Linked DNA regions of Lepisosteus oculatus. The protein of the gene in region 1 interacts with the protein of each later gene in a pairwise test. Links are inferred from orthologs where the notes say so. Each region holds a gene or a part of one and is shown on either strand. Other genes may lie near its edges.

Region 1 (7,110 bases):
GGTTCAGGACAGCATGAAGGCTGTAAGTGCACCCAAGTGTTGAAAATCATAAAAGGCAATGACAGAGTTAATCCCCATGGATTGGAAGTTACTGGTCACGGGAAAGAAGGTGTCATAGAACTTGGAACAAGAAGCCCTTTTTGTGGGTGTCTGAACATGCTGGTTTGCTGTGTTGAAGCCATGTTCCTAGGGAGCCTTCAAGAAACAGCAGGATGGGATACTTGCATCAATGAGCTACTTACAGCCAAAGGCAGTGAGTGAGTTGAATGGTCTGCTCTTCGGTGTAACCATTTTAGTTTGTTGCTGATCTTGACTGACTTTATTCTCTAATTGCCAAAATGTCAAGGAGCAGCTTTCTCTCTTACAAGTGAATACAGCAGTAAGCTTCCATGTGTATGATAGTCACAAGTGTTTCCTTAAAAAATGCGGTGAGTTAGATTAAAAACTAGCGCCCATTCACTTGCCAATTCACAAGGTCAGGCACAGATCAAATATCTATGCCTCACAAAATATCATGCTGTATGTGTAATATAAACGTTCAAACCTTTGCTTAAAAACAGCACCATGCAATACTCCAAACTCAGAGCAAAAGCTTAATGCTTAGCAAATAAGGTAGCTAATGAATGGGTTAACCTAGCCATAGCAATAAACATGTGTTTGAGCCTGGTCAGTACCTGGATGGGAGACCTCCTGGGAAAAACTAAGGTTGCTGCTGGAAGAGGTGTTAGTGGGGCCAGCAGGGGGCGCTCACCCTGTGGTCTATGTGGGTCCTAATGCCCCAGTATAGTGACGGGGACACTATACTGTAAACAGGTGCTGGATGAGACGTAAAACCGAGGTCCAGACTCTCTGTGGTCATTAAAAATCCCAGGGTGTTTCTCAAAAAGAGTAGGGGTCTAACCCCAGCGTCCTGGCCAAATTTCCAATTGGCCTTTACCAACCATGGCCTCCTAATAATCCCCCTCTATGAATTGGCTACATTACTCTGCTCTCCTCCCCACTGGTAGCTGATGTGTGGGGAGCGTTCTGGTGCACTATGGCTGCTGTCGCATCATCCAGGTGGGGCTGCACATTGGTGGTGGTGGAGGGGAGTCCCCATTACCTGTAAAACGCTTTGAGTGGAGTGTCCAGAAAATTGCTATATAAGTGTAAGCAATTATTATTATTATTATTATTATTATTATTATTATTATGTGCAACTGCAGTAGTAGTGAACATAAACCCGATTTATTAAAAATAACTGCAGTTCAGCATCTTCCCACTAGGTGGCAATGCCGAGCTACGGTTGAACTTTTTCACTTTTGCTGGTTATCTGCGGGGAGACACATCTTCCTCAGTGGCGAAAAATGAACCTTCGATAGCGCTGCTGGGTATATTTTGTCTTTAACAGACACTGACATTTTTGTAAAGAGCAAAAGGCACGCACGGTGAAACTGTGATCCCTCCACCACCCTTGCCCTTAACGTGTCTTTATAAACTCGGATTGAAACAAATGTGTGTATGAACCTGCACTTGACCAGACTGAAAGAAAGAGTTAAACGCCTCATTTAATTTAATTATATTCTGTTCCTTGCGACGCAATGAACAACCGAAAGGGACACGACTTCACAGCCGCGGTACAGTTTTGCATCTCCCAGAATGTCAACTGAAAACGTGGCAAAGCATGGCATATTCATAACCTCTAATGCAGTTTCTTTGGCACCCGGTGTATTTTTTATCATTTTGAAACTAGATCTCATTTCCAGTTTCAAGCTTGGCCAGCTGGGGGCCAGTGTGTAACGCCTTCATTTATTCTGCAGCTGAAAGGGTAAATGCCTACATGCCATTCTCACCCGGCTTGGTTTAAAAGGCGATGCTCTCTCACAGAGAGTTCATGTCTACCGAGACAGGAGAGGAGACGGGGAACAAGTGCACCTCTGTTTAGAAGCAGCATGAAAGAACTTGAATTACAGTTCGGCGGAGTGGATACGTCCCCCACCCCGACACTGCGACCATACAGTAGACTTCCAAGCAAAGCTCCGTTTCGCCACAAAATGGCCCGGGCATTCCTTTTGGCTCTGGCTGCCTGGAAGAGCACATTAGAGACAGCGCTGCACAAGCAATGTCTTTTCATCTCCTGTTAGAGGGGCTCTGTTAACTGCAGTACTGATACATTGATATACTATTAATATACTAAGATATGTGGTGGTGTTTGGTAGCAAAAGGTAAGAAAAAACATTATAAGTTAGGCTTTCACATGTTTTTACCTTATCAAATTATTTTAATTCTTAAGAGAGGAAGGGGTTTTGCAGTTTGTGTTTCACTAGAAATGATCAAACCCAAGGCAACACTTTGGGAACAATTTCTTATGCTTTCCCTCTGCTTTTATCAGGTCATTCTTATTTGTAAAACTCGATTCTGCTTACATGTGTGAAGTGCATCATCACAGGGCAGCACATACCTCTCATGTCTGAGCACTGAGCACCTGCTCTGCCACCAGCACTTGAGCGCCTAACCTCTGCAACTTGCAAACACTGAAGTCTTGCTCATACTGTATACTGTAACTCACAACTGGCAACCCAGTGGAGCTCAGCAGGTGTGAGCCTGGTCAGTAACCGGCATAGGAGCCCTCCTGGGAGAAGCTGAGGCTGCCGCTGGAAGAGGTGTTAGTAGGGCCAGCAGGGAGCACTCACCCTGCAGCCTGTGTGGGTCCTAATGCCCCAGTGTAGTGACGGGGACACTATACTGTAAAAAGGCTCCGTCCTTTGGATGAGACGTAAAACCAAGGTCATGACTCTCTGTGGTCATTAAAAATCCCAGGGTGCTTCTCGAAAAGAGTAGGGGTGTATCCTGGATAAATTTCCCATTGGCCCGTATCAATCATGGCCTCCTAATAACCCCCATCTCTGAACTGGCTTCATTACTCTGCTCTCCTCCCCACTGAGAGCTGGTGTGTGGTGAGTGTTCTGGTGCACTATGGCTGCTGTCATCATCCAGGTGGGGCTGCACATTGGTGGTGATGGAGGGGATCCCCATTACCTGTAAAGCACTTTGAGTGGAGTGTCCAGAAGAGCGCTATATAAGTCTAAGAAGATATTATTATTAATTATATAAGGGTCCTTACACACAAGGCCATCTCCACAGTACCTTTGGATAAAAGGGTCAGCTATATACTGTAAATGAACAGTTGCAGTCTAGTCGATTTCAGTTTTCCATTTGGGGGCAATGGAGTATTTAAAAAACAGTTACTTTAGTCTGTTTCACAGAGTTGAGGACGTTGGAGTGGAGTTGCTGCTCCTCTGGATCGAGAGGAGTCAGTTGAGAAGGGCTGGGCATCTGGTGAGGACCCAGGGTGGACCCAGGACAGGCTGGGGGGGGAGGGTTCTCTCAGCTGGTCTGGGAGCTCCTGAGAGTCCCGCAAGAGGACTTGGAGACTGTTGCCGGGGAAAGGAAAGGAAATTCTGGGCTGCCCTGCTCGGCCAGTCATCACAGCAACCCTCAGCAGGAGCAAGGGGCTAGAACATGGGTGGATGGACGTGAAAAGGTCCAGTGGGACTTTTGAAAACCTCTCATGTCTTAATTAGAATCAACTCTGTACCAGATTCTGTGTTTCAGAACTACCTGCGCACAGGTGTGACGTCGGAAATGGAAACGCCTGGACCGCCTGGCAGATGGAAAGCAAAGCTCGCTGAGGGTGTCTGACACAACGTCCGTCTCGCCTGGATCTGTTCATCGGAAACCCATCACCTTCTGGGGGCTGTGCACCGAGAAATAAGGGTTCGCAAATCGAGGAGAGATTGTTTAAAGTCCTGTGGGATGTTTTTGTAGGCCAAACTATCTTAGAAGGGGGGTGGACACACATCATAGGGGGGATTGGAAATTCCTGCCCAACAGGAAGACCACCGCCTTCATGTCCATCGACACCATTTGACACATTTTCCAAATGCAATACAGTTTAGTCTTTAACGGGAAAAAAACACCCGCTTTTGATATTCAGAATGAATGGTGACCATTTAAGTGGCGTCCCAACATAATTTCGTTGTTTAACTCGTTTGCACATCCAGCTAGCGCTTCCCAGTCACCCCAGAGCCGAAGGAGGCGGCTCCGGCACTGCGTGCGGTTTCGGATTTCATCTCACGGCCAGAGGAAACTCCTGGGCTTCACAATGGAGCGCATAACGGCATAAAGCGCCGCGGGCTGTATCTGGAATACGACGGCAGAAAATGTTAGCACGGAACAGAAAGCGCCGAGCCTTTTTTTTCTGCGTAACCCTTGGAAGATTGCGCCGCGCTCCGTAAAAACAAAATCAAACTGGCGAATGTTATTCTTCCCACTGGGAAGTGGCAGGAATTGTCATCAAGCGCTGCCTGGGATTTTGCCTGGTTTAAGGGCAGTGCTGTTAGTGAGCTGCAGGCTGAAGACGAAACACACTAAAGACACGCCGGCGTCTTCTTTTAACGCAGGCCACACAGGGGACACAAAACGCGCAGGAAGCGGTGCGAGTCTTGGAATTTTATTTTTAGGGGAAACACTTTCCCGAGCGGAAATGACTTCAGTGTGATTTTCTTTCTGCAGAGCTCCGCCAGAGAAGGGAATTCCTAGGCAGACTGGAAAGATGTCCGTTTTCACCCGTTCATCGTTTCTGGAAACATAACAGCTTTTGTTGTTTTGTTTTGTTTTTTTGCTCCTTGCAAAAAAAATGTTTACCGGGATGGTGAAGGTAGGGGGCGAAGTCCCCTCCATGCCGATCTCTGACACTGACAGCATCACGCACGTCAGCCACCGGCACCATGCTGGGTTCAGGCCAGGTAATTATTGGCGTTATTTACTATAAAGCGTTGCGAGGTCTAAATCTGTTCAACTGCGTTGCGCTTTATTAAACACGATTGACATCATCGGTGTTTTATGCATGTTCTTCTCTTATGTTATATCTTCTTTGAACGTTAATAGTTTGCGGTTCGATAACTGTAAAATACTGTAGTTTTGTTTTACAATTCAATGTCCGCACCGGTTTTTGAAGCTGTAAAAACTCGGATTTGAACAATGTTGCGAGTTCGATTGATAAACACAAACGCCCCTGAAAACATTTTCACATCTATTCATAGTGTTGGTTGGTTTCAGTTGTATCCAAATGTTTATTTATTTTTGCATCTGTTTTGTGATCACAGTTACCACTACCCGCCTGAGCCAGATTCGTTACAAGAAATTGCACTGCGGCCAACTTTTGAGCGAAACGTCAGCCGAGTTCTGTGAACTGCAAGTTTGCAAGGAGTTTTTTTGGGGAAATTAATCGCGCGTGATGAGCACAAAAACGGCATGACCCAAAATGTTTTTTGAAATGCTGAAACATGTAACACAATATATGATATTTTAGGAAGTCACGCAATGCGTTTATAAAACCTCTGACTGCCCTTAGGTTTTAAAGTAACACATCTAGCCCTGGTTAAAAAAATGAAATTTCCCATGACTGCTGTTTAATTCAAATTTGTAGATGATCGGACGTTAGGCTAACTTTTTTTTTAATAATCTGAAAATTCACACTGCAGGGATTTACATTAGAATTGTGAATTAATCTGTGATCGTCGCATTTCTACAGTTTTTAACTGTAGTACGGGCAAGCAAGCATTTTAGACGTGTCTCCTGAATGACACGCACGCACAGAACGCAGATCTGAGGACAAAGTTGAATTTGAGATGTTACAGCACAGCAAAGCTGCGTGTCCGACGTTCAGTCCAATCAGCTTTCCCAACTCGTCATATCACAGGGAACTCGAGTCCTCAACCCTGATGCAGATACTGTGTGCGCTTTTCCAAGACAGCCTGAAAAGTTTACCCCCGTCTTCAAGATCAGAGATGTTTTCTATTGTTGTTGAATAAACATAGATGCTACTTGCTAGTTTAAAAACAAACGAAGGCCCCGGTGCTAATGTCAGAATTGTTTGTGTATTTATTTATGCATAAAGTCGTCTCTTAACATAAAACCAGTCTATATTAATCCAAACGTCATTGGCCTGAATGACACGATTTTCCAACAAGGGAAGCCATATTTCTAGTAAACCTGAAACTAGTGAGCACATAAAGCAAGCACACGAAAAACAAGGTTTTTCAGATGACCGTTAATAAAGTCTTTGAAGTTTGATCATGTGTGGAGCTTGTTTTTCAAGTTCTCGCTGACATACATACTGTATGAGTCTGAGCAGTGAATCTGCAGTATGTAGCATAAGTAGACACTTCACATTAATCTGACAAAAAGAATTTGAATTCTGTACATTTTGAATTCTCTTTATCAGTTTTTTTAGCTTTGTAATCTTACAGTTTTGGGGTCTGCATTTTCACAGGCAGAAAATCCGATAGAGGCAGTTTTACATAGCATTCTGTATTTTGGAATTATCTGAAGGGAGATTATTGTTAATAGAGAAAAAAAATATTGTGGAGAGACAACAGAAGTCAAATAGAGTACTCTGTACCTCAAGTTGTGATGTTGTGCCTTTATTACAGAAAACAGAAACAGAAACATTAAAATAGTCTGTAATATTGTTCTTAGAAGCTATGAATGGTTTTCTGCTGGTTAAAAAACGAAATTAAAGGTGATGTAGAATAATTCCTCCACAGGAAAAAAAAATGATTTGTTTATTTGCGTTTTATGCTGTATCGGTTTGCCATTAATCTTAGTCTGTCTTTCATTTATGCTTTTTAAAAAGCAAAGAAATGTAAAAACTGTATTATGAAGGCCTTTCGTCACTGTCGTCTGCTGTATCTTACTAGTTTTGACATTTTTATTTCTGTTCAAAGGCCATTAGTCATGTTTTGTTGCCTGAGCAGCCTAGAGATTAAAAATGATTATGGAGGAGAATCGCTTTTGTTTCAGTTACTGGTATTGGACTTCCTTATTTCTTGTTAAATTCTTACTTTCTTAAAATACCCCTTTTCTGTTGCACTTCTTCTTAGAAAAGATTTTGAATTTTCTCATTTATTTATTTATGCCTACAGGCAACGTGCTTGTGATAGCTTTGTGTTTCCACATGACTTAACAGGATGTTTTCTGTATAACTTTCTGTGCTGAGGCGTTTTTGCTGTGCTGTGCTGAGGCCCAGTCGATGAAAGTAAATTACAGGGTTTAATATAGAAACCC
Region 2 (7,848 bases), on another chromosome or scaffold:
AGGATCATTATTTACTTTAAATACGGTTCAATGGCTCCAGAGCCCCTTTTTTATGATGATATCATGTATTTCTGTATTTCTTTATTTTTCATTGCAGCTTCGATGAGCACAGGTCCCAGGCATATAGTGCTGCTTCTCAGACCGAAATTACTTAATTTAATATTTTGTTTGCTAAACTGTAATACTTCCAAGTATCCAGATAATGAATCTCTTAGACTTAAAGAAGGCAAAAAGATCCCTAGATTAACGGTAGCACTTTTGCCACTCCAGTTCTAGGGTCATGTGCAATGTATGTGTGACAAACTAAATATTACATTATTAGCAATATAAATGACATGCTAGTGCAATCACCAGTGAAGCTTTCCCTGTAGAGTCTCTTCTTCAAACCTCACCTATCCTTTGCGTCTATTCTTCTGTACTATCATCAGTGGCTAGGGAACCTGCCCTTTGCAACCTGCAGTCAGGTCTTTCATCGGTCTTTTTAGGTGAACTTGATCAGTTTAGCAGTTTGCTTCCAGCTTCTCTCTCATATCTTTTAAGACCAGCTGTTTCTGATAAACTCTCAACGGGCTGCATGGCTCGGCTTATTTGACAAACACACCAGTTGTTGTGAAATACAGTTAGGCCTCAGTTTTTGACAAATATGTTCCTTCGCTATTGGTTTGTATGTAAATATTTAAATGTGCTGCATTTAATAATGCTTAATATAGTATTCATAGTTGTTACATCAGTGCAGTGTTCACAGTGTTTGTTGATTAATCATGGACAGCTATTTTGCATGATATCATTGTTTATTTTTTTTAACCAACCTACACCCCACCCCCCCAACTTTGGAGGACTTCTTTATTTTTATTTTTTTTGTTCACTCTCTCATTTTTGTTCTTATCAGACAATAACAAAAAAATACATGATAGCATTGTTTCAAAATCATTCATTTTTCTTATTTCTGTGATTTATCATTTATACTCCTAATTTTACAAACGCCCTAGTTCTTAGTATACTGCAGTTTATTAATGCAATTGTTGTGAACTATGGTACTATATGTGTGCTTTTCACCATTGGAAATTCATTGATTATTGCAACATTTAGCTCATTATTATTCTGGTAACCTAAGAAATAATGTCAGAATGCTTCACTGAAACAGAACTTCATGATAGCTTATAATTTTACATTTTTAACATACAATATTCTGCCAAACATATATTTCCTGACCAAAAGAATGTTTTATTTGGTATTTCGGGTCCTTGTCATGGTGAAAAATTATTTTAGTCTGCAAGTGTAGAGATGGCACAGAATAGTGATGTTGTATCTGCTTGTGCTTTTCCTTGGCAAGATTTAGATTCTTACTAATTTGATGGCACTTAAAACCAGTCACACCCCAAATTGTCTCAGAAATCTCGTTTCACAACCTTTAGTACAACACTGTTCACCAACAGTTCTTCACAAAAAAAAACTGCTGTCTAGATTTCAGAATTTCAAATTTGAAGATCATGTCTTGAAAACTCCTTTGTAACTTGTTGTAACTTATTCTAGGGGTCTAGATATTGTTGTCTTGGCAACAGACCTTCTATTAAGACCTGTAGCAAGACGTTGCTTTGTAAGAGTGGTCAAAGATAAAACAGCCAAACAAAAGAAGGTGACAATACATGCTACTGCATATGTCACTATCATGAGAATAAATGTCGATTTGTCCTATATAAATGCCATAATCCCCCACCTCTATGAATATTTGCCAAGAGGCTTTATTTAAATGACATTTTTTATTAACTGAATTGCCACTATTTATATTTCTTCATTGCCATTAAACAAAAGGTGCACCAGTTACTGTCAAAGCCATTTAGATATTTTAGTGCATTATTTTACCACAAGGGATTCACAGCCAGAACAAACAGTTAAAGCAAGACCATTTACAGGATATTGTCTCTCGAAGAAGGATGCTCCACTCCAGACCTCCCTTGAGCACCAAGCCACCAAACCGATTGTCTTTGAGACAGGATTTGAAATGTATCTCTTTCTGTAGTTGTGGGCCAGCAAGGGAATTATCCTCAAAGTACACTGCAAAATCCACTTTCTCTGGCAGTTCAGGGAGAGAAAGACAGATCCTAACTTCTGCTCCTCTGGCTGCTGGTTCTGTCAATACAGAAGAATTCCCATTTACTGCTTCATTTGAATTCTACCAGTCATTAATGTCACAGTGTGAGTTGTCTTCATAGGCGTAGTAACTTCATTTAGAAAAGGGTAGTGAAAAAAATGAAGCGGGTTTTAATTTTGTCCTGCAAAATGTTTTTTTTTTTAATGAGGTTCTTTGTTGTTTTTACATTTGCAAATAAGAATGACCGCAAGTGAAGTTCACTGGTAAACCTATGCTTTAATCACTGCAATAAAATCACTGACGTCAAATTATTCCAGTAGTTCCAGTGACAATGATAGATATTGAAAAGAATAGCAGAAGACAGTATATTAGGGCAACGAAACTTAAATCTGTCTGTATCTAAATCAGACATACAGACAGAGATGAAAAAGCAGTAGAAAAGTAATGAAGCTATCTCCAAATTTTAATAGATAAAAAAAGAGGCAAAAAAAGAATTGATTAAATAAATCAGTTTAATCAGTTTAACGAGGACATTTCCAGTGTCCTGGAAATGTGTATAACTATAGGACAGCTTAAATGAGACGCCTTTCAGTTTGCGAGCTGCTAAAATATTTCTGACTTTTTAAAGAAAACAATGTACTTTAGAAAAAGGCTTTGTTTTTGTGCTCTTTTTTGTGCAGAGTTTTGCCATTTTTAGAGCAAACTTAAGAGGATCAGCAATTTTGTGCATTCTGCGCTGATTGAAATGCAGTGCAAAACTGATTGGATATCATTGTTGCATACTTGCCTCCCTGTTATTTTATTGGCTTTAAAAGCTTCTTTCTTCATGTTGAAAGGTTCTAAATTTATGAGAAGGTGTATATTAACAGGGTCAGACAAATCGCTGAACGATTCAATCAGATTGAATGAATGCAGTATTGAGCTGCTTCTAGACCCTATTCTAAAGGGATTCAAAAATAATATATTGGTGTTTTGGCACACATACAGTATAACAACATGATATACTGATGTCTAGTCACTACTGGTGCCTTGATTTTAGCATTGTGTCCTTCCTTGACACTCTTACCAATGGCATTTTTTATTGTGGTTTTAGATTCCATGTTGGGCTTTTCAAATGTTTTACACCTTTGTGCGCATGCATTGTGAAGTCTTTAAAATTATAATATGAATTATGGGCACTTTTTAAAAGTTGTCTAAATTGATTCAGTATAAAGGTTTTCTTTGTAATATTCAAATGTATTTTAAAAGGTTGCAAAATAATTATAAATGTTAAGACAGAAGACATTGCACATCTGGCAGACAAAATAATGGGCACACCTTCTACATCCAAATGCAAATGGAAAACTATATGTACAGCATGGTTTCCTGAACACTGACTTGTAAAAAACAAAGTGTGTTAACCATTTCAGAAAGAAGTATAACAGGGAGCATTTAACTTCAGCTACTGTACGTAAGAGGAACATTTGGAAGCGTTCTTTTAAACGGTGAGCCTGAAAATGTGCTGAGAGAAATGAAGCTAGGCAAATTATATTCAAGAAAGGAGAAAACATACAGTGATAGTTTGTCCATAAGGACTCTTACTGAAGCCTTACTGTGGAGGAGTCTGCAAAAAAGTCTCAATGGACAGAAAAGAACACAAAAGAGTAGTAACGTTAACTACAGTGGCAAAGTCAGGAGTGGAGCAAACATCATAGCTTCCTTGAATGTGAAGCCTCTGATACATGCACAGTTTATCTCCTGCTGGGATTCAATCTTCTGTCTCGTAAGCATCCCCCACCACACAGTGCGCTGACATGCAAACGCATCTGGTCGGTCAAAAGACTGGTCGTATAACTCAGCAGGCTTCCCATAGCTTTCATTCTTTCGGGACAGAAGTGGTTACGTCACTGTGAAAGACTTACACAGGGAAAAAAAAACACGTTGCACCTGCAGAAAAGAGATTTGTGGGTGAGGGGTTTGTATTTTCAGCTTCCTAAATGAAATGCCCACCTGTACTAAACATAAAATACTTCAATCTAAAAGAAGATTAAAAATAAAAAGTGACGCACTAGAATCTACCTGCCCCAAGGTCTATAGAGCAGCAGGTATACGACAAGCTTGACAGGACAATGGAAAACATGACTTCAAACAGCAGTTTTCTAGATGTGTGCTCTGGGAAATCATTGATTGAATGTATGTGTAGCACTGAGCGTGGATATGCAGATAAGAAAAGTTTGTCATAAAATCCCTGCAAAACTAGCCTTCTGCTGCATTTTCTTTTAACCATGGTAAAACTGTTCCTTCAAATCAATTTTTCATGTTAATTCTTCCTATCTTAGAGGAATGGAAGGATAATTCTGACACCTAGAGTGTGTCAGCATGTGCATGTTTAAATAAATTACTATTTTAAAAAATGTATTCCCTTTTCATATATAAAACCAAATATAAAATGTACTGTATATATATATACATCCAGATGTGCATGCAGCCTTGATTTTACTGTAGTAGCTTCAGATGTGTTATAGCAGAAAGGTCTAGGTTACTGCGAGTGATGTATCAGATAAAAAAAGGGTTAGCAGGACACGATCGTGTAGCAGCTGCATAATAAATGATGGAGAGAATCACGTTAGACATGCCCACCTAGCCTAACTTGAAGCAGGAAAGAAGGGAGCTGCTGGAATTCAAATAGACTTTCTGGCTCCCAGCAGTCGGCAGTAATAGAATGCTCTCCGGAAGATGACAGATGCAGGGAAAAGATGCCGTTTTGCACAGCCCAGATTGGTTTCAGCCGCCAACTTATTGGCGTGATGGAGTGAATGGGAAAGCAGCTGGCATGGAAGGTAGGATTACAAACGCCATCACATCGTTATGAATGTAATTAGAAACTGACCATGACAGAGCATATGTTAGAATGCCCTGTGCTTGATGGAAGAGGATTTGTTGCTAGGCACTGAAAGGGGTTGTGTCAGTCAAACTGCCGAAAAAAAAAAAGATTATTTGTTGTCTTTTTTGCTGTGGCTATCTATCAGAATTAGCAGCATGGATCTTTTTTTTTCTCTTGCTCTTCTTCTCCTTGTTTTGAAGACTTAATGTTACAGTCCTCAGTGGGGGAATACCGACTGAAAACAAACCATTGCTGTGAAACAAATCTGCTTTAAAACAGTCATCAACTATTAATAGACTGCATGTAGTTATGAAAAGAACTGGGGAATTAGATTTTGTCAGGTAAGCCAAAAACAACAAAAAAATAAAAACAGTAGTCAGTCTAGCTTTAGAAAGTGGGTTAGAAGGAAAGAAAGAAGCAAAAAAATATTCCCTGTAGAAATTGCCAGAGAGTATTACAACCACTTGGGCTTACTGATAATACCGTGTCTTGTAATGAATCTTTCCTTACTTTATATGATGTTATGAGTGCAGCAATGTGAGTTTATTGCTGCTGGTTCCACTTTGTTTTATTTCACAAATGTTTTTTTTTTATTAATTTATTCCTGAAGAGGTGGGAGTGTACAGTAGCAAAAGAAAAAAAACTCAGAAATGGTCCAGCAGTATTGTTGTAGATAACTGCTGCATCTGTTTCAGCAAACCAAACTGTACTTGCATTTTGCCAACTTGATGCCTCCCCAGCTGCTCTCTGATTTTGTGCTTAATTACTGCTCCTAATTTCCCTATATCAGCTTATTTGTAAAAAAAAAAGCTTTGACATATAGAAATGAGACTTGACAGCTAATTTTGAAGCTGTTTAATATTTGGAAACATGTCTAGTGAAACCTCGGATTTCCTGACTAATGCAAACTGAGACTTTTCCATTGTCCTCAAAGGCTGCATGTTTTTGGCATATCCTCAGCTGTGATCTGCTTCAGGCAAGGTGCAGCTGTGGCATATTTTGCTTTAATAAAAAAAAGCTTTAGAGAATCTGGACAGAGTGAAGCAGAAGTTACGTTAGATTTGGTTTGATGATGATTGTGTGAAACAAATCTGGATCGGCTTAGAAAAACCCCAGCTGTAAGGTTTCAGAGCATTGTGTCGTTCTTGTATTCAGAATGCTACTTTCTGTAGTACGTGAAAATTGTTAGCTTTGTCTTGTAGGATAAATCATCTTAATTGGATAATCTGACAGCTGACCTGAAATTAAATTGAACTAGAAGCAGGTGGTTAGAAAAAGGACAGTTCTAGACTTTTCTGTTGTCGAAACTTGAAAAGAACACAAAATCACAGAACTGCTTCTTGTCTGGGACCTGGTGTCTAACGTAATTTACCTCTCAGCGATTTCGATTTTACTTGGCACACAGATTTATACAAATTCTAGTGCAGTTAGTTAGAAGAAGGTGAAGTTGCCGTATGCTTTCATTTGAGTGACATGGCCCTGTGGAATGGCAGTAAGCGCTGCTGTCTCATAGCTGTTGGGTCCTCAGGCAGTTGTGCGAGGGTTTCTCAGGGTCAGTTTGGCCCCAACACACAATCCAGTTCTCAGCCTTTTAACAGCATGAGACTGGATATAATCCTTCTGCCAGCAGCACACTTAACCCCAGGGATGATTGCAAAGGGGAGGACAGAATCTGCCACCTGTTGCAGGCCCAAGAGGGCAAAGAGGCCTCTGTCCTTGAGATATGGGAGTGACAGTCTCTTTACCCTTCGTGTGAAACCAGACAACCTATCACTTCTCAGGTCCAATGAGAACTATCCAGTCCTTGACCACACTCCACAGTGCAAGCTGATATCTCTTCTCCTGGCTCAGTCGGGAGAGATTTACAGCTTTGCTAACATGGAAAAAAAAAAACTCGCTGTTACACAAAGAACAAAAAATAGGTCTTGACTAGGAGGGGGAAAAAAAGCTGCATGACAACAGACTTTTGATCTTACATTTTTCTGAGAACTATCATGCTTGAATCGACTGGTGGGAGGAAGTGTTATAATAGTGTTACTATTTTGTATTCACTAAATAGTAGAGGTGATAGCCACTGATTGCTCATTCTAATAGGCTGGAGTGTTGCGTACTGTAGGTCTTTGCCCAGAAAATATTGCTTAAAATGTAATGGCAATAACATAGAAATGACTCCTTATTTCCCTTTCAGACATTGTTGTTAAAGAGAAGCAGTCCAGTGTAATTGTATTTTGTACATTCTGAGGAGTGTTGCTTATTTTAATAAGCCATCCATCCATTTTTAGTTACTACTTTATCCTTAGAGGTTTGCAGTGGATCAAAACCCTGTAAGCACAGCATACAAGGCAGGATTATAACCTGGAAAGGACACAAATCCATAATAAGGCTCTCTTGCGAACCAGCAAACAGGGAGCCATTCTGAGATCCCAATTACCCAGACAGTGTGTGCAGTATTTGGACTATGGTAGGCATCTAGAGAAAATCCACAGGCACAAAACAAAACACGCAGGACAAACATGGACAAACACATGAACTCCACCTAGACTGCTCTAAATCCAGGACCATGATGCAGTGCTACCCACTGTACCACCCTGAATTGATAATCACAATAAAATAATTTAATCCCATTACGACTAATGAGAAACGGTTGTGTTGGATCACTTTACTCATTTTATTATTTAATAGATGTGAGTCCTGAATGCAGTATTCTGTAGCATATCGAACAAACTGGGACAGGAATCTATGTTAGATGATGCTGCCTTGTCCTGGAACCTTTTGTTAGAAAGTCTTAGCTTGAAACAAAAGAGTGATTACATGGAAAACGTAATTATTCTTAATCTGCAGCATCATCTTATAAATATTAATACACTAATCTTAAAGCATACAAAGCTTGGTA

The links.
Region 2: the proteins of disc1 (region 1) and dmd interact in a two-hybrid assay, tested with the Homo sapiens proteins (2 studies listed by BioGRID and IntAct). The link is inferred for Lepisosteus oculatus from reciprocal best matches to the Homo sapiens genes DISC1 and DMD.

The regions. Positions count from the first base shown.
Region 1 is NC_090712.1:5,086,789-5,093,898, forward strand, and holds the start of disc1 (disrupted in schizophrenia 1 protein), read left to right. Parts: upstream 1-4,013; 5' UTR 4,014-4,678; coding exon 4,679-4,787; intron 4,788-7,110. UniProt on the Homo sapiens protein: Involved in the regulation of multiple aspects of embryonic and adult neurogenesis. Required for neural progenitor proliferation in the ventrical/subventrical zone during embryonic brain development and in the adult dentate gyrus of the hippocampus.
Region 2 is NC_090710.1:29,679,148-29,686,995, forward strand, and holds the start of dmd (dystrophin), read left to right. Parts: upstream 1-4,796; 5' UTR 4,797-4,814; coding exon 4,815-4,911; intron 4,912-7,848. UniProt on the Homo sapiens protein: Anchors the extracellular matrix to the cytoskeleton via F-actin. Ligand for dystroglycan.